Ovis aries: one gene and its partners. The protein of the gene in region 1 interacts with the protein of each later gene in a biochemical or structural test. Links are inferred from orthologs where the notes say so. Each region holds a gene or a part of one and is shown in the gene's direction. Other genes may lie near its edges.

Evidence for each region.
Region 2: of the proteins of IRAK1 (region 1) and PELI1, one has a biochemical effect on the other in vitro, tested with the Homo sapiens proteins (5 studies listed by BioGRID and IntAct, with this or other methods). The link is inferred for Ovis aries from reciprocal best matches to the Homo sapiens genes IRAK1 and PELI1.
Region 3: the proteins of IRAK1 (region 1) and IRF7 form a complex in vitro, tested with the Homo sapiens proteins (2 studies listed by BioGRID, with this or other methods). The link is inferred for Ovis aries from reciprocal best matches to the Homo sapiens genes IRAK1 and IRF7.
Region 4: of the proteins of IRAK1 (region 1) and IRAK4, one has a biochemical effect on the other in vitro, tested with the Homo sapiens proteins (2 studies listed by BioGRID). The link is inferred for Ovis aries from reciprocal best matches to the Homo sapiens genes IRAK1 and IRAK4.

The regions. Positions count from the first base shown.
Region 1 is NC_056080.1:80,283,014-80,286,663, forward strand, and holds part of IRAK1 (interleukin-1 receptor-associated kinase 1), read left to right. Parts: coding exon 1-182; intron 183-430; coding exon 431-496; intron 497-1,630; coding exon 1,631-1,867; intron 1,868-2,439; coding exon 2,440-2,851; intron 2,852-3,268; coding exon 3,269-3,412; intron 3,413-3,650.
Region 2 is NC_056056.1:44,146,964-44,151,384, forward strand, and holds the start of PELI1 (E3 ubiquitin-protein ligase pellino homolog 1), read left to right. Parts: upstream 1-1,496; 5' UTR 1,497-1,823; intron 1,824-4,421. UniProt on the Homo sapiens protein: E3 ubiquitin ligase catalyzing the covalent attachment of ubiquitin moieties onto substrate proteins. Involved in the TLR and IL-1 signaling pathways via interaction with the complex containing IRAK kinases and TRAF6.
Region 3 is NC_056074.1:47,073,599-47,077,698, forward strand, and holds the start of IRF7 (interferon regulatory factor 7), read left to right. Parts: upstream 1-1,175; 5' UTR 1,176-1,239; intron 1,240-1,535; 5' UTR 1,536-1,807; coding exon 1,808-1,827; intron 1,828-1,910; coding exon 1,911-2,073; intron 2,074-2,159; coding exon 2,160-2,367; intron 2,368-2,622; coding exon 2,623-2,681; intron 2,682-2,769; coding exon 2,770-2,947; intron 2,948-3,229; coding exon 3,230-3,757; intron 3,758-3,829; coding exon 3,830-3,948; intron 3,949-4,022; coding exon 4,023-4,100. Other genes in the region: CDHR5 (cadherin-related family member 5), read left to right, coding at 1-45.
Region 4 is NC_056056.1:142,992,337-142,996,527, reverse strand, and holds the start of IRAK4 (interleukin-1 receptor-associated kinase 4), read left to right. Parts: upstream 1-1,266; 5' UTR 1,267-1,470; intron 1,471-4,191.

The DNA.
Region 1 (3,650 bases):
TGATGCCCAAACTGGGGGACTTCGGCCTGGCCCGTCTCAGCCGGTTTACAGGGGCCAACCCCGGCCAGAGCAGTAGTGTGGCCCGGACTCGGACGGTGCGTGGCACCCTGGCCTACCTGCCTGAGGAGTACGTGAAGACCGGGAGGCTGGCTGTGGACACCGACACCTTCAGCTTTGGCGTGGTGAGCTGCGGGGCCCTCGACTGGCCTGGGGGTGGGGGGCTGCAGCCCTCGGAGAATCCTCCAGCAGGCCTGACCAGCTTCAGATCCCAGGACCCGTCTTCCCCAGCTCGGGCGCCCTGCGCGGCTCCACACCTTCATGTCTGTCGTTTTCCATTCCTCTCCTCCACGTGGGCCCTCCAGACCCCCTGAGCTTGAGTCCCACGTGCAGTTTCTCAGCGGCCCCAGTCTGCAGCCTGCTCTCTCTGCAGGTGCTGCTGGAGACCTTGGCCGGCCAGAGGGCCGTGAGGATGCATGGCACCCAGCCCAAGTATCTGGTGAGCCTCCTCCCGAGGCAGGTGGGGAGAGAGAGAGGGAGGGAGGAACAATCCGGAACGTGGGGCTGCCAGCCCAGCCTCTGCTGACTCATTGTTGAGAGTAGGCAGGGCCCCAGACAGTTGCATCTGCCTGGCTGGGGACAAACCTCTCTGTCCCCGGCAAGTACCACAGGCCCTTCCAGACCCCACCTAGGTTTGGCGAGGTTGGGGGGGTGGTCAGGGTGGGGGGTTGCAGCCCGATCACAGTGGAAAACAGAATCAGGGGACCTGGGAGAAGCAATGGATGGGAATCGGACCACGTCCCCCCTCACCCCAGATGCCTTCTCTGGGTTTTACGGGGCAGGTCTATTCCTCCGCAGACTGACCCAGAGCCCAAAATCCAGCTCCTCTCTGCTTAGTCAGCAGGATCCTTCACACTGTATAAGCCGGTGTGTTGCCCGGGCTCGGGGCTGTTTCCATCCATTCCCGGGTCTCGAAGGGATCTCTGCCAGAGCCGGGCACCAAATAGATCTGCACTCGGGCCCATCGTCAACACCGCAGTGGCGCAGCATGCCAGACCCCACAGGGTGCCTGCCACGGCTTCTCTGGGCAACCACCAAAAAGCTCTTTTAGAACTGTGAGGAGGTGGTGGAACCCCTTTACCCCCGCCATGCTTGGGATGAAGGCCCAGACCCTTGACGTGGTTGCCAGCTTGCTGTCTGTCCTCCAGACCTGGCGGCTCCCTGTTCCTCTGCCTGAAAGGCCACGCCCCGCACCCCCCCCCTGACCCCAGGGTCTGCTCCTGGTCCTTCCTGTCTGGTCCTGTCCCTCCCCATCTCCGTGGGGCTCTCCCCTCTGAGCCCTGCCCTCTCTGGCTAGTTGCTGTCTTTTGATCAGAGCCCGAGTGTCACTTGCTTGGGCCCCCCCATCAAAACCCCTGGGGAGGCCTCCCTGCTGTGGTTTCCCCTGGTTTTCGAAGCATATCGACGTCTCTCCCCTCTCAGGAAGTCAGCTCTGTGAAAGCCAGCCCAGGTGCTGGGCGTGTGGCTGGATCCCGGGGGCCCAAGTCAGCGCTGAGCATATGCAGATGAGGGCCGGGGATGGCAGCGCAAGGCACGGCCCACGGGGGCCAGACTCACGTTGCATGTCCCACAGAAAGACTTGGTTGAAGAGGAGGCAGAGGAGGCCGGGGTGACCCTGAAGGGCACCCAGACCGCAGTCCAAGGTGGGCCAGCCGCAGACACGTGGGCCGCCCCAGTTGCCGCCCAGATCTACAAGAAGCACCTGGACCCCAGGCCAGGGCCATGCCCACCAGAACTGGGCCTGGCCCTGGGCCAGCTGGCTTGCTGCTGCCTGCACCGCCGGGCCAAGAGGAGACCCCCGATGACCCAGGTAGTCCTGTGAGCTGGGGGTATGGGAAGTGCTTGAGATGCCAGTCTCCACATGTTGCTCAACTGCCCTTTGGTTTGGCTTGAACCCCCGCTGAACCCAGCCAGGTACAGAGAGGGAGGCGATCGGCTTTTTACTGCGCCCCCTTCTGGGTGCCTTGCGCCACTGCATCTGCCTTTTTTGTGTCCCTTCCACCTCTTTGTCTCTCTTTTATTTATTTATTTTAATTGGAGGCTAATTACTTTACAATATTGTGGTGGTTTTTGCCATACATTCAACATGAATCAGCTGTGGGTGTACTTGTGTTCCCCATCCTGAACAACTCCCCCCACCACGTCCCTCCCCATCCTATCCCTCATTTGTCTCTCTTGAGAAAAGAAAGAAGCATCATTGAGGGCATCAAGGCAACAAGGTTTGCTTTCTCAAAGACAAAGAGAAGCTGTTCTCAGTCCTTAGCTTTAGTGACAACGATTCTCTTCTCTGGCCCTGACCTGGAGCTGCCCTGCAGTTCCACCACCCTCTGTGAGGACCTGGACAGGGCCACTCACCCTGAGAGCCCCGGTCCCTCCCTGCAGGTGTACCAGACACTGGAGGAGCTGCAGGTGGTGGTGGCAGGGCCATGCCTGGAGCCAGAGGCTGCCAGCCACAGCCCCCCTTCCCCGCAAGAGAACTCCTACGTGTCCACCAGCGGGAGCGCCCTGAGCCGTGCCAGCCCCTGGCAGCCCCTGGCGGTGCCCTCGGGGGCCAAGGCCCAGGCTACAGACTGGCCGCACAAAGGTGCCAACCAGCCCGTGGAGAGTGACGAGAGCATGTCTGACCTCTCTGCTGCCCTGCACTCCTGGCATCTGAGCCCCAGCTGCCCTGCGGGCCCAGGGGCCCCCAGCTGGGTGCCAGCACCCCTCGGGCAGGCTGCCTGCACCCAGGGGGGTGCCGCCCGAGAGTCGAGCTGGGGGAGCGGCCCGGGTCTCCAGCCTACAGCTGTGGAAGGTACCAGCAGGGGAACCAAAGGCCTCCTTTCCGGGCAAACCCCATCCTCCCGACCCCAGCCTTCTGGGAGGAGAGACCCAGGACCCGCCATGAAGCTCCATCTGTCCTTAGCAAGTTGCAGGCTGCCGTCTTGGGTTGGGCTGCTCGCCTGACCCCAGGAAGGTCCAAAGAAGGACCATCCCGGGCCATCTTGTCTCACTGGGCCATGCCCCCAGCTGGCTGAGGATAGGCCAGGAGTAAGGCAGGCCCAGTCCATGACTAGGCTCCAGGCCTTGCCCACAGACAGAGCGCTCAGGACCTCTGTCCTTTGAGAGGGCAGGGAGGGAACTAGGCTGGGGATGGGGAAGGCTCGCGAGGCCAGCAATGAGTGTCAGCAGGGAGTTCCCAGAGGCTCAGGGGGTCCTCTCTCCACCCCAGGACCCCTCCTGGGCAGCTCCACATCCTCGCAGCCCCCGCAGATCGTGATCAATCCGGCGCGACGGAAGATGCTGCAGAAGCTGGCATTGTATGAGGACGGTGTCCTAGACAGCCTGCAGCTGCTCTCGTCCAGCTCTCTCCCAGGTACCCTCCAAGAACAGTGGCCTTTGAGAAGTCATGTGCCCTGGGCACAGCCCGGTCCTGTCCTGTCCCACCTCCCTGTCCTGCCAATACTCCCCCTCCCCGTAGTCCAGGATTGCCCGTGCCCGTACTTCCAAAACATACGAAGCCCCTGCTGGGCAGGTTCCATTCAAAGAAATGCTGCTGAAGAATGGAAACCACTAAGTCCAGAGAGCGCCCCAGGAGCAAGGACTAGGGCAGC
Region 2 (4,421 bases), on another chromosome or scaffold:
AACTTTTCTACTAAGGTATTTATTGCAGTTTGTTTATTTACCTGGCTCTTCCTCTGCACAATAAGCACTTTGAAAATAATAAATATTTCTTTTATGCTCCTGTATCTCTATTTCTGGGAACTGAAGAAGTACCTGAGACATACTATACTCAATAACTGTTTTTTGAATATTAATCATGGGGTCTGCAAACACAAGGATCCTTGACCTTGAAACTCTCTACCTGAAAACCGCAGCTTTTCCTGTGTTTCTGATTTCTAAACGCTAGTCCTTTTCTTCCAGAGTATGGGGTTCTAGGTAGGCAGAGAAGGAAAACAAAAGATCTTGGGATAGGTTGCCTTTAGTTCTCTGGAATCCAGTAACATGTCCTGCCTTGCACCACCCTCGTCCACCATCTCTTCACACCTGGCTGTCCCACATGGGCGTAGACTTAGCTGACCAGCCCCAAAGCATACTCAGACCTTGGTTCAGACTTCTCTTATTGCCAACTGAAAGTTGGTCAATGTACGTACAGCAAACAATTTTCAACTTTCCACTTATCTTTTGAACTTCTACTTTATAAAATTTGTATTTCTTGAAAATCGTAGGCCTTAAAATTTAAGAAATTTTTTAACATGGATGAAGTAAGATACAGTGATCTTAACCTTGAGCTTTACCTTTGCTGGCCTTAAAGTTGGATGTGACTGCGTGAAGAAATGATGGGAATCTGACAGTGGTGATGCTCCTAACCCTTTTATAACGTAATTAATTAAGATATCGGAAGCAACTGGTGGCTCAGATGGTAAAGAATCTGCAATGCAGAAGCCTTGGGTTCCACCTCCGGGTCAGGAAGATCCCCTGGAGAAGGGACAGGCTACCCAATCCAGTATTCTTGCCTGGAGAATCCCAAGGAGCCTGAAGGGGGCTACAGTCCTTGGGGTCACAAAGAATCCGACATGACTGAACAACTAACACCTTTCTACAAGTCTTAGGTTAAACAACAAACAAACAAAGAACCTTAAATTTAAGGCAGAGAGGATACATTTGCGGGAAGGGAGGGAAATGGGTATTTGTGATCCTGAATTTATGGGATAAAATTAAGCAGCAGGGAAGACCGAGATATGGTGAGGAAGTCAGATTTCACTGGGCAGTTGGCGTGATGAGTCTAGAAGCTGGGGGTGGAGCGAAGTTAAAGGACTAGCCAAAAGTGGGATCCTTAACAGTACCATAACACAAGGAGGGCCTTGTTCAGTCAGCAGCCTCGCTTAACACGTTCCCTTCCTTAGTGTGTCGGTGACCATAGTAACAGTAGGGCCGAGCCTCCCTCCCGAGCATGCGCACTGCAGAGCGAACGCAGACGCGTCCTCAACAACAATGTACAGCTTTTTTCTTGAGGAGAACTACAACTCCCAAGAGACCGCTCGGCGCCGCCGCACCGCCTCCCTCTGTGGCCCTGCCCTGTCCCCTCCCTCCAGTCCCGCCCCCCCGCTAGTCCCCTCCCCTCCCTCCGAGCGTGGGTCAGAGACCCAGAGGCGGTGGAACCGTCGGGGGGCGCCGCCGCCGCCGCCGCCTCCAGCAGCAGCAGCAGCCTCGCCGCGCGTTCGGATTTGCCTCGAGCCCTCCTGGAGCGCATCACAAGGCGGATCCCGCGGCTCTTCCTCCGCCCGCGGCTTCTCCAGCGTTCGGCTCCGCGGCCAACTTCCCCTCGTTGGGCTCGGCCGGCTGGCGAACAAGGCGGCGGCGGAACGCCGGGCTGTCTGCTCGCGCTGCCCGCGCACGCACACTTCTCCCCCCTCGCTCCGTGTCTCGGGGCCGTGCTGGGAATTCCGGCCACCAGCAATTGTCCGGTGAGTGTGGCCGCAGGAGGGGTCGCGGCGGGGCCGCCGAGGGGTGCGGGCCAGGCAGGCGCGCAACTTCCTCAGCGGCTTACCGGGGCGGCCGGCCGGCCGGCTCTCCCCGCCCGCCTGCGCGCCCCCGCGCCGGAGGCGGCCGGGAGCGGAGTTTGCGGCGCCGGCATCCCGCGCCCTCGCAGGAGGAAGCGCCTTTGTCAGGAGCCTGCCCGGCGCGCCCTCCCCCTCTGCCTGGGAGCGGGCGCGAGGGTGGCCAAGTCCGAGCCCCGCGCCCGGGGTAGGGTCGCCAGCTGCCGGAGGGGAGCTCCGCGGGGGCTGGGAGCGAGACCGAAACCAAAGGGAAACAAAAGGGGTGGTGGGCTTTTCTTTTGTTTGTGCGAAACTGATAACTTCTTTTTCCTTTCCTTACATAACACAGACTTCCAAGTTAGTCATTCTTTTTATTATGATTATTGTCATCATCTCTGCGTGTCCCTCGCGTTTCCTTTCATCTCTGGATCACAGAGCACTTAAAAACATTAATTAATTACACCTCCGGGGCCCCGACGAAACAAGTTAATAAGCCCGTTTCTGTAAGTGGGTAAACTGAGGTTCAGAAGAGCTTGCTCCTCCACCGCACCTGGTGTCTGAAGACCTGAAAGCATTTATGAGTAAGAACTCGTTCTCCAGTGCCCCGTGGAAAAGTTAAAGATGTTCCTTTTACGTATAGGCTAACTAAAGTCTAAAAGAGGTCGGGGTACTTGTTAGGTAGTTCAAACCATAACTCTTCTTACATAGTGTTTGAATTTTAAAACCTCAAAAGTCTCTTGAAAAATGCCCGGAGTGGGGAAAATACTGTGATCATAAACTCACCCATCTAGTTTTGGTTTTTGTACATGTAGGTTTCTTACAAGGCAGACTAGCAGGGATGGGGGATGGGGGTGGGAGGACAGACTTTTTAACGTAGGCTTCACAGATTTTAATCACTGCACACAAGGAAATGTGTCTTGGTTTTAATAGCACCAACAGCTTTCCCATCGTTTAGTCATCAGATAATTGAGTGAGCGCTTTATCCATAAGGTGCTGGTTGTGCCAAGAACTGAAGCTTTAAATATACGAAAAGGTCATCTATTTGTTTTGGTTCAAAGACGGTGTACTTCTCTTAGTCTGCAGAATGTTATTTTTTCACAGCAGCTGATCTTTTGTTTAAGAACTGGCTTTGTCTTTTTCTACATTGTGTATGTGTTACCTTAATTGAGCAGAAAGATTAGAGTGTTTTTGTTGTTATTTACTTTTCATAGTAGTGTGAATTTAAATTTTTGAATTGTGGAGAAGGTTCAGTTTCTCCAGTTCTGGTTTCAGTTTATGGCGTTTTCTTTGTAACTAACAAAGAGAAAATGTTTTCTCAGAGTGATCAGATTTATATCTTTCAAAACATTGTCCGTCTTGTACAAATACAGCATATAAATCCCTTATGTTTTTTACTCGCACCAACAACCTCTTGTGGAGGAAGATAATTCTGAAGACAAGTTTATTTTGGTAGTTGACCCAAACTAGAAGGTAGTGCAAATTTAAATCAAGCATCATTTCTACTAGTTATTTCCTGAGGTGAATAATGATCAGAACTGTAATAACAAGACTTTTTCTTATCTGCAATTCTCTTGAATTTAATTTTGTATTTTATAGTTGCCCCTAGATTTTAGATTCTGGTGATTCCATCAGAAAAGGGAAAGATGTTCTTATTTTGATATTTCCCCCCAGTCTTCTAACCTGTTCTCTTTCTGTTCTCTTTCTGTAGTATCTTGAAAGAGATCTTGGCTTTAAAACAGACAGTTGGAAAATAGAACAGTTAAGTGTATGGAAAGATGCATGTAGTGAAGTGCTTATAATGCTAAATCTAATAAATTTAAGACTTTTAAAGAGAAAACTGTCACCTGGATTTTTATTAATAATACAGAAGTGCTGTCATATAATAATAGTGGTATTTATTGACTTTAAAAAAGAAAAAGAGATCCTGGGAATTGTCTCTTTGTGGAAGATTTGGGGGCAGGGAGAAATCTGTGCTCTCAATATCTTCATTGAAGTGCCCTTACAGTTGGTTAAGTTGAACTTTCTCTGCAGCGTTTACAAACCAGATTTACCAAAGGCATTTATTTGCTTTAAGAAAGCTACTAACACAATGTCTGCTCAGTCACTGGAGTCCAAAGGCAGCAGTTAGTGTTGACCGTCAAAAGGCTGGCATTGCAGGTTTTCCTAGTTTCTTTGGAACCCCTTAAAGGAAATGACTGAAAAGTACAGGGAAGGGAACTGAGTCTAGTATGCTAAATGCTGCTGAGCCAAGTTTCAAGGGGAAGCCTAAATATGCTTCCATCTGTCTTTGTTTCACCTTCCTTTCAGGTTGTCAAAATATCACTTCTATATGAAGAGTTCTGTGAATTCAGAATATGCCTTATTGTGGTTGTCCAGTAGGTCAGATGATAAGGACTGTAGTAGTCATGCTCTGTGAAGAACTGTTTTCAGACAGAAGCTTCTGTAGCTAAGAAGAGATTTTAATCTGGAAGACTTTGAACACTAACATTCTCACATAATATGCCTTATCATGGCACATCAGTAGAG
Region 3 (4,100 bases), on another chromosome or scaffold:
GCGGATGCCCAGGACGCGCTTGGTACCGACTCCATCCACTTCTAATGCCGCGTCCCCCGGAGTCGGGACCCCGAGAGTCGGCTTGGTGGCTGTCCCCACACTCCACGGCGCAGAATAAAATAACATTTTCGGTTCTGTGGGGACGTCTGCTGGCCGCCAGGGGAGCTGTGGGAGCCGCGAGGGGCGGGCGGTCTGGGCACTGCTTTGAGCTCTCGGCGCCGTTTCCCGGAAACCACCTGCTGCGCGAGGGGCTTCCCAGGGTTGGTGCCAGCTGGTGGCCAGGCAGTTCCTCTCCTGGTCTGACCGCGGCCGCCTCGACATGGAGATTCTTCGTCTGGGGGAAGCTGAGGAGCCACTTGGCCAGAAGCCCCCCTCCGGGACTCGTGTGGGAGGGCGTGGGCCCCGGGACCGCCCCGAGGGTCACACTGCTGCCCCTGTGGGCCGCAGGGAGGGCAGTAAGCGCTCTGGGGCTCTCGCGGAGGCACCCGGTCCAGGTGGCTGGACTGATTGGCGGCGGGGGGTGTGGCCCAGAACGACGGTGGCCACGAGCCTAGTGCGGCACGTGGGGCTGGTGGGTGCGCGGAACAGAGGCTATGGACGGACGGAACCCAGAGTCACGAAGCTGGGGCCCGAACCCCCTCCACTGGCTTCCTCGGGGCGGCCCTCAGGCAAGACTTCCGACCCCCCAGCACCACTACCGTTCTTCCCGGGTCGCCGGTGTTTTCCCATCCCTTCCCAAGTATTTTAATCTCGACAGTATTTGAATATTATTGCCTGAGGAACTGTCACTGGTTAAGAATCCAAAGAGCGCGGCCGCAGCCCCTCCCACGCACCCATCGCCCGCTCTTCCGCTCCGCGATGCGCCAGGTTTTGTTTCTGGAACCCTCGGCTTATCCCACGGCCTCTCCCGGGACGCTGGTTGCTGGCCCCAGGCCCCGCTGCGCTGGGTGAGCGAGGGGAGCGGCTGGGCCGCATCGGGGCTGGGTCCAGGGTTGCCAGGACCCCGGTGCCGCCTCCCGCCGCGGCCCAAGAGCGGGTCCTGCGCACCTGCGCTCGGCTCCGCTCCAGGCGCACGTGACTCCCTCCCCGGCACCTGGAGCTCCGCCCCGGCCCGGCCCCGCCCCCGGCCCCGCCCCGCCCCCGCCACCATAAAAGCGGTTGCTCGCGAGCCCCAGGGGATCAATCTCCCCACGAGTGACTCCGCGTCCTGAGGCTGGACGCGGCCCGAACCTGCGCCAGGTACTGGGGAGGCCCAACCCGGGAAGAACACGAGTGTGAGGCCTCGTCGGACTCCGGGGTCGATTCTCGGAGCAGTGACCAGGGAGCTCGGCGGAAGGCGCGGGTCCGGGACGCGCTTCGCAGAGCAGTGACCAGGCGGGGCGGGCTGCACGGATGACGGCGCGGGGCCCGGGTCTGGAACTCGGGGACCTGGACGGGGAGGTGGCGGTGACGCGCGGGGCGTGGCGGGTTAGGTTTCGTTTTTCCGCAACGCCGGGTTTCGTTTTCCTGCGGCCGTTCCCGTCGCGCCCCCGTAGGGCCCAGCCCGGACGCCGGCTCAAAACCTGTGACGCGTCGTGCGCGCACCGGCCGCGTCTGTAGCCACATCCAGCGCCGTCTTGGCCAGGACTCACCTCCGCAACGCCGTGACTGGAAGCCCGCATCTGTGACCCCCCAACACCCGGGACTAGCTGTGGAGACTCACAGACAACCTTCCTCTCCTGCGCCAACCCCCGACCGCCCCGAGACCCCAGCCCTCTGCGCGGAGGGCGTGCCACTGTCTCCAGGCCCAGCCTTTGCGGAGGGACCAATGGCCGAGGCTCCAGACCGGTGAGCCCGCCTCCCTGCCCGGTGCGGGCCCCACGCCCCCGGCGGCCCCCTTGCGCCCTGACACCTGGCTGCTCCGCCCGCAGGGGAACCCCGCGCGTGCTCTTCGGAGACTGGCTTCTGGGCGAGGTCAGCAGCGGCCGCTATGAGGGGCTACGGTGGCTGGACGCGGCCCGAACGCGCTTCCGCGTACCCTGGAAGCATTTCGCGCGGAAGGACCTGGGTGAAGCCGATTCGCGCATTTTTAAGGTGAGACCCCAGTTCTGCCCGGGCTGGGGAGGGCCGGCCCAGGTTCGCAAGTCCAGGCCACGTGCTCTACACTCTGTCTTTCTCAGGCCTGGGCCGTGGCCCGAGGCAGGTGGCCGCCCCGCAGCGGTGGAGGTGCCCGGCCGATCCCTGAGAGTGCGCTGCGGGCCTCCTGGAAAACCAACTTCCGCTGCGCTCTGCACAGCACGCAGCGCTTCGTGATGTTGGAAGACAACTCGGGGGACCCTACAGACCCTCATAAGGTGTACAAGATCAGCTCTGAGCCGGGGTGCCGAGGTGAGGAAGGCCGGGGTTTGGGGTGCTGCCGGCAGGGGGACTGTGCTGTGTCCTGGGAGTAGCTGCTAAGTCAGATTTTAGGTTTTAGAAACTGGTATGGGAGAAGCTGGTGCCAGTTAGGGGGGGTGGCAGCGCTGGAGTGAAGGGAGCCCGCTGGGGCTCCAAGGGGAAGCGCAGACCAGCTTCCGGGGGCAAGGGGGCGTTGACATCCAGGCGCCTCACTTCAGCGTTTCCCCAACCCTAATTCTCCCCCAGAAGGCCTAGGCTTTGACCAGGGGGAGGACGAGGCCCTAGAAGATGCCCCACCTGCAAGGGTAAGGCCGCTCTGCGTCCGGGGTTGAGGCCGCTCCCTCTCTGGGCCTGGGGGCAGCTCCTTTATGCTGGCGCTGTCCTCTTCTGCAGGGCGGGCTCCCGGGGCTATGCCTGGCAGCAGATACTGGTGAGTGCCTGGGGCACCGGCTGAACCCTGAACCCTGCCCCCCAAGCCTCGCTGGAGATGCTGGGGACATCTTGATCCAGGCTCTACAGCAGAGCTGCTTGGAGGATCATCTGCTGGATCTGATCTCCCCAGAGGCTCCTGGTGAGGGCCTCTTGCAGGGGGTGGGGAGTGCTCTACCCTGCAGGGACAGGCAAGACAGCAGAGTGCAGCCCAGGGGAGGGGGTGCTTGGCAGGGATGGTGCTGGTCACAGCTGGGCCAGTATAGCTGGGCCTCCGCAGGCCCAGAGCCCTCTGCTTGAGAGCTATACTTGCCACAGAGGTGGTGCCTCCAGCCTCAGGCCACAGCCCGAGGAGCCAGGGAACATTTGGCAAAGGGAGGACCTGGGGGCCCAGGTGTCAGCTCAGGCTTCTCTTCCTTTCCAGACGCAGGCCCACCCCCAGAGCCCTGGCAGCTCCCAGAGGCGGAGCCGCACGTGGGAGCCTCTGCCAGTGCCTGCGCGCCGACGGCAGGGGCGCCGCCCCTGGCTGGCCCTGGCTGCTCACAGCTTGGTCTGCAGCCAGAGCCCAGCCTAGGGGCCCTGGACTTGACCATCCTGTATAAAGGCCGGACAGTGCTGCAGGAGGTGGTGGGGCGTCCAAGCTGTGTGCTCCTGTACGGTCCTCCCGGCGTAGCTGGAGAGGCTCTGGGGCCCCAGCAGGTCGCCTTCCCCAGCCCCGCCGAGCTGCCCGACCAGAAGCAGCTCCACTACACAGAGAAGCTGCTTCAGCACGTGGGCCCCGGCCTGCAGCTGGAGCTCCGGGGGCCGCGGCTGTGGGCCCGGCGCCTGGGCAAGTGCAAAGTCTACTGGGAGGTGGGGGGCCCCCTGGGCTCAGCCAGCGCCTCCAGCCCCGCTCGCCTGCTGCCCCGGGACTGTGACACGCCCATCTTTGACTTCGGCACCTTCTTCCAAGGTCAGTGACACCCCTGCCCTTGGGCTGTGGGCCCTCCGTGCCCCGCCCCCTCACCAGAGCCCTGCTCCACAGAACTGGTGGAGTTCCGGGCCCGGCAGCGCCGCAGCTCCCCGCACTACACCATCTACCTGGGCTTCGGGCAGGACCTATCAGTGGGGAGGCCCAAGGAGAAGAGCCTGGTCCTGGTGAAGGTGAGGGGCCAGGTCCCCGGCCGGGGGGAGGCTGCACAGAGCCCCCACCCGGCCTGACAGCACCCTCCCTGCAGCTGGAGCCGTGGCTGTGCCGGGCGTACCTGGAGGCTGTGCAACGCGAAGGTGTGTCCTCCCTGGACAGTGGCAGCCTC
Region 4 (4,191 bases), on another chromosome or scaffold:
TGCACAATCAATACTGATTATTGAATAAATACAATGACTAGTACAAAATAAGAGCAGTAAGAGTGAAGAGGAAGAAAGACAGGGGTCACTTTTGCCTAGAATAATCAGTCAAGCATAATGCAAGAAGTGGCCACATTTTCAAAACACTTCAGGAGACAGAAATGAGGCAAAGGCATAAACAAACTATGCAACGTGTTAAGAAAAAACTGAACAGCCCAGATACAGAGCAGTAGGAGAAAGTGTTTTCTAGCACAGTTCTGGAAAATATGGCCGGATTAGTGCCAAACTAGGTAAAACACTTAATGCCCTGTCAGGGGCTTAGAATCCATTGAGTGGTTAATCGATGGCCACTGGAGGTGTCTGAGCAGGAAAATAACACAATCCTAAAAGATGTTTTAGTAAGATGACTGATAGTACTAGGCAGGATGAATCTGTTGAACAGTTAGAGAAGATCAAAAGCAACAAGATGTGATCAAGAGCTCAGCTGTAGGAACAAGATAGGAAAACATTCTAAGCTAGTGGCATAGGAGAACAATTTGAGAATACAACGATGAGGGAATTACGGCCAAGCATCCTAGTAAGAGTGGAACCGTGCTGAAGGGCAGCCAAGGAACCCACACAGAGTCGAGTTTCCATGCCACAGATGTGTCGATAAGCCTGCCGGGCGGACATGGAGAGGGCAGTTTGGCTGACCCAAGGCTTGGGAATTTGGGTTGTGGCTAAGGGCAGAGTCTAGCAGGATGTTAAAAAAGGACAGTAGCTCCTCCTGTTCCTTCCACCGCCAACGCTCCACCTAATTCACTCTTACTTCCTACTTCTGCCACCAACCAGCAGGACTGACTCCTGCAGCTTAGACTTCAGGCGCTTTCCAAAGCACCCCCGACACAGCCATTGGCTCCACCGGCGTCTTCTCCACCCACATCCCCGCCTAACTCAAGGCGCGATACTAGCTCACATCGCGCTCCTCTTGGGGACAGAGCGTCAGGGTCTCAATGCCGATACTGTCATCGCCCCCTGCACAAGCCCACGTGGCGCCAAGAAGCTCAGCCCAGTCTACCTCAAGTCCAGCTGAAGGGTTTCCTCCGCACCTCGCCGTGCGCATGCCCGGAAGCCATAAACTAGCTAGGCTCCGACAGAAGAGTATTTAAAGGGACAGGCTCCTACTTAAAGAAACGCCTCTCTGGAATTTTTGACTCAGTGAAGCGGCGAGGGGGAAGCGCAAAGAGGAAGGGGGCGGAGAGGGGCGGGGGCGGGACCTGACGGATTGGGCACGCCCCGGCCCTTCGTAGTGCCTGGGTCCTGAGGTCGCTGGCTCAGCCCTGCGGCGCCCCGTGCGCCCCTGCGCCCCGCGCCCGGGCAGGTAAGGGGTTCCGGACTTGCGCGCCACCTTCTCCGCGAAGTGTCCGAGGTCTGCGCCCTGGCCTCAGGGTTGTGGAGGGACTGCTCGGAAGGAAAATCCCTTCAGCGCACGTGAGAAAAGTTAGAGGGGAAGTAGGTTGCGTGGGCAGCGCCTGCTCCAGGGTAAAGATTTGGGTGGGTCCCTAGGGATTGGAAAATTGGTGGGTCCTCCATTGGAGGACCGTGGGGCGAAGAGAAGCGTCACTCGGTGGTCGGACCCCGCCTCGAGTTTCTCAACTCCCGAGCTATGTGTTCCGAGAACCCTGTTTACGAAATGAAATCTCTTTTCCTCAGAACCAGGAAGTAGGACCAGCACCCAACAAAGATGCTGACCGCGTGGAAAGCATTCTAAACCCCCCCCCCCAAAATTCTAATTAGCTAGTTTCTCAGGCTTCCAGGAAATTAGAAAGTGGAGCGGCATTGTCAGTACGTTATCAGATGGGGAAAGGGTACCGACAGCCTGGAAACGAGAGGGAGCCAAGGGATGAAAAGCAACCTCAGAAAGCATTTTAGCCATTTAGGATGGGATGCTGGGGAAGATTGAAGGCAAAAGAAGGGGTGGCAGAGGAACAGATGATTGGATAGCATCACCGACTCACTGGACATGAATTTGAGCAAATTCCCAGAGATAGTGGAGGATAGAGGAGCCTGGGGGGCTATTTGGGGTCGCAAAGAGTAGGACGGGACTTAGCAACTGAACAAGTGCCTCAAAAACGTCTCTGCCTTAAGAGCTGAGAGCAGAGGATATTCAGATTTGCCTTTTCCCTTTCTGAGGGTAATCCTTGACGAGACCTGTCAGAAAGTTAAGATTTCTTTTTACTTTTGTTTGCGTGCTAAACGTTCATTTGACGTTTGCTTACCCCTGTGCAAACAGAAATCCTGAACTTCCAGGCTAAACATGCTCCTTTCACAGTCTTCTCCATCTTATTGTAAAGGTCAGGAAGGGGGCGGAGAGGGCCGGAACCACGGGCGTCTTCTCCACCCCCATCCCCGCCTAACTCAAGGCGCGATACTAACATACATCGCGCTCCTCTTGGGTACAGACGGTCAGGGCCCTTTCACAGTCTTCTCCATCTTATTGTAAAGGTCAGGAAGCTTGTTCAAGCCAGAAACCTTGGTGCCAACTTGTCACTCTTCATAGCAGCATACAGGATTCTGTGTGATTTCTGAGGTTTCTACCTCAGAAAATATCCATCATCTTAGGAATTCTACCTTCTTTACTACCACTCTGATGTAAGCCACAAGCACCTCCCACCTGGATTATTGATGTACTTAATTAATCTCTTCCTGCTTTTCTGCCCTCATTTTAATATACTTTATTCAACAATAATTTAAACAGAGATTAAACAACAATTATTTTCCACAGCAGTCCCCGATGTCCTTTTAAGTATAGAGCACATCTGTCCTCTTCTCAAAATCTCCCCTGTCTTCTCATCTCCCTCAGAAGATGAAAATGAAGTAGGACCTTAGGGGACCTGGCCCCGTTACTGCTCCCTTCTACTCTGCTTTCCTGCTCCCTCTTCTCCAGTCTTACTGTTTTCTTGTGGTTCCTCAGTGAGCCCATTCCAGACCCTTATATTCTCTATTCCTTTTGCCCGGAAACTTACCACAGATATCCCAGTGGCTAGCTTTCTCATTCCCTTAAACCTTTAATCCCATGGCACCTTATTGAGGCCAACTCTGAGTATTCTATTTAAAATTAAAACCCCTTCTCAGTTATTTTTTTTTCCTTTTCATTTGGCATCATATAAAGACTTCCCAGTGGTACGAGTGGTAAAGGACCCACCTGTTAAATGCAGGAGACATAAGAGACTAGGGTTCCGTCCCTGAGTTGGGAAGATCCCCTGGAGAAGGAAGTGGCAATCCACTCCAGTATCCTTGCCTGGAATATCCCATGGACAGAGGAGCCTGGTGGGCTACAGTCCATAGGGTCACAAAAGAGTCGGACATGACTGTAGCAACTTAACACAGCACAGTGTACTGTAGAGTAAATGCTTACTACCCATCTTCATCTGTTAGAATATAAGCACTCTTGCCTGGAAAATCCCATGGACAGAGGAGCATGATAGGCTCCTACAGTCCATGGGTCACAAAGAGTCGGACACAACTGAGTGACTTCACTCACTCCATGAATTCAGTTAATTTTTTTTTCTTATTTTCCTAATGCTTTATCTCCAGGGACCTGGATCAATATCCAGCACAAAATAGAGTCTCAGTAAATATTCATGAATGAATAATATTTTGGTTTTTAAAAAATATATCCAAAATGTTTCAAATTACTTACCATTAAGTTAAATTGATTTTTGAGGATGGTATTAATATATTGTGTTTAATTTATGGCATATTAGCAAACATCCCAGTTTGAGAAGGGCAGTCCTGTATAACCTATTAGGTCTAGAAGGTGTCACAGGCTTTTGTTCATAATGATGGTGTTGGGTTGCCCAAAAACGGACAACCACTTTTGATCTAGGTAAATGGTTATCTACAATACTTTACTGAAGAAAGCATGGGAGTGAATAATGTATTTTAGGAAGATTATAAGCATATTAAGGATACTATGCTTAGTAACATGACTGTCACCATGAAAAGCTTGGCTGTGTTCTCAGACCTCTTATTTCCACTTCCTCTCCTTCAGTTGCCTTTCACTGCTGTTTTGAAATTGAGCTTAAATAAAACTCTGCACATTTCTTTTTTTAAAATGTGACATAAGAATAACTTCTGCCTTGCAATAATCATCACTATATTTTCTCTGATCACTTATTATTGATAGAATTAGGCATCTTTTGATTTTTA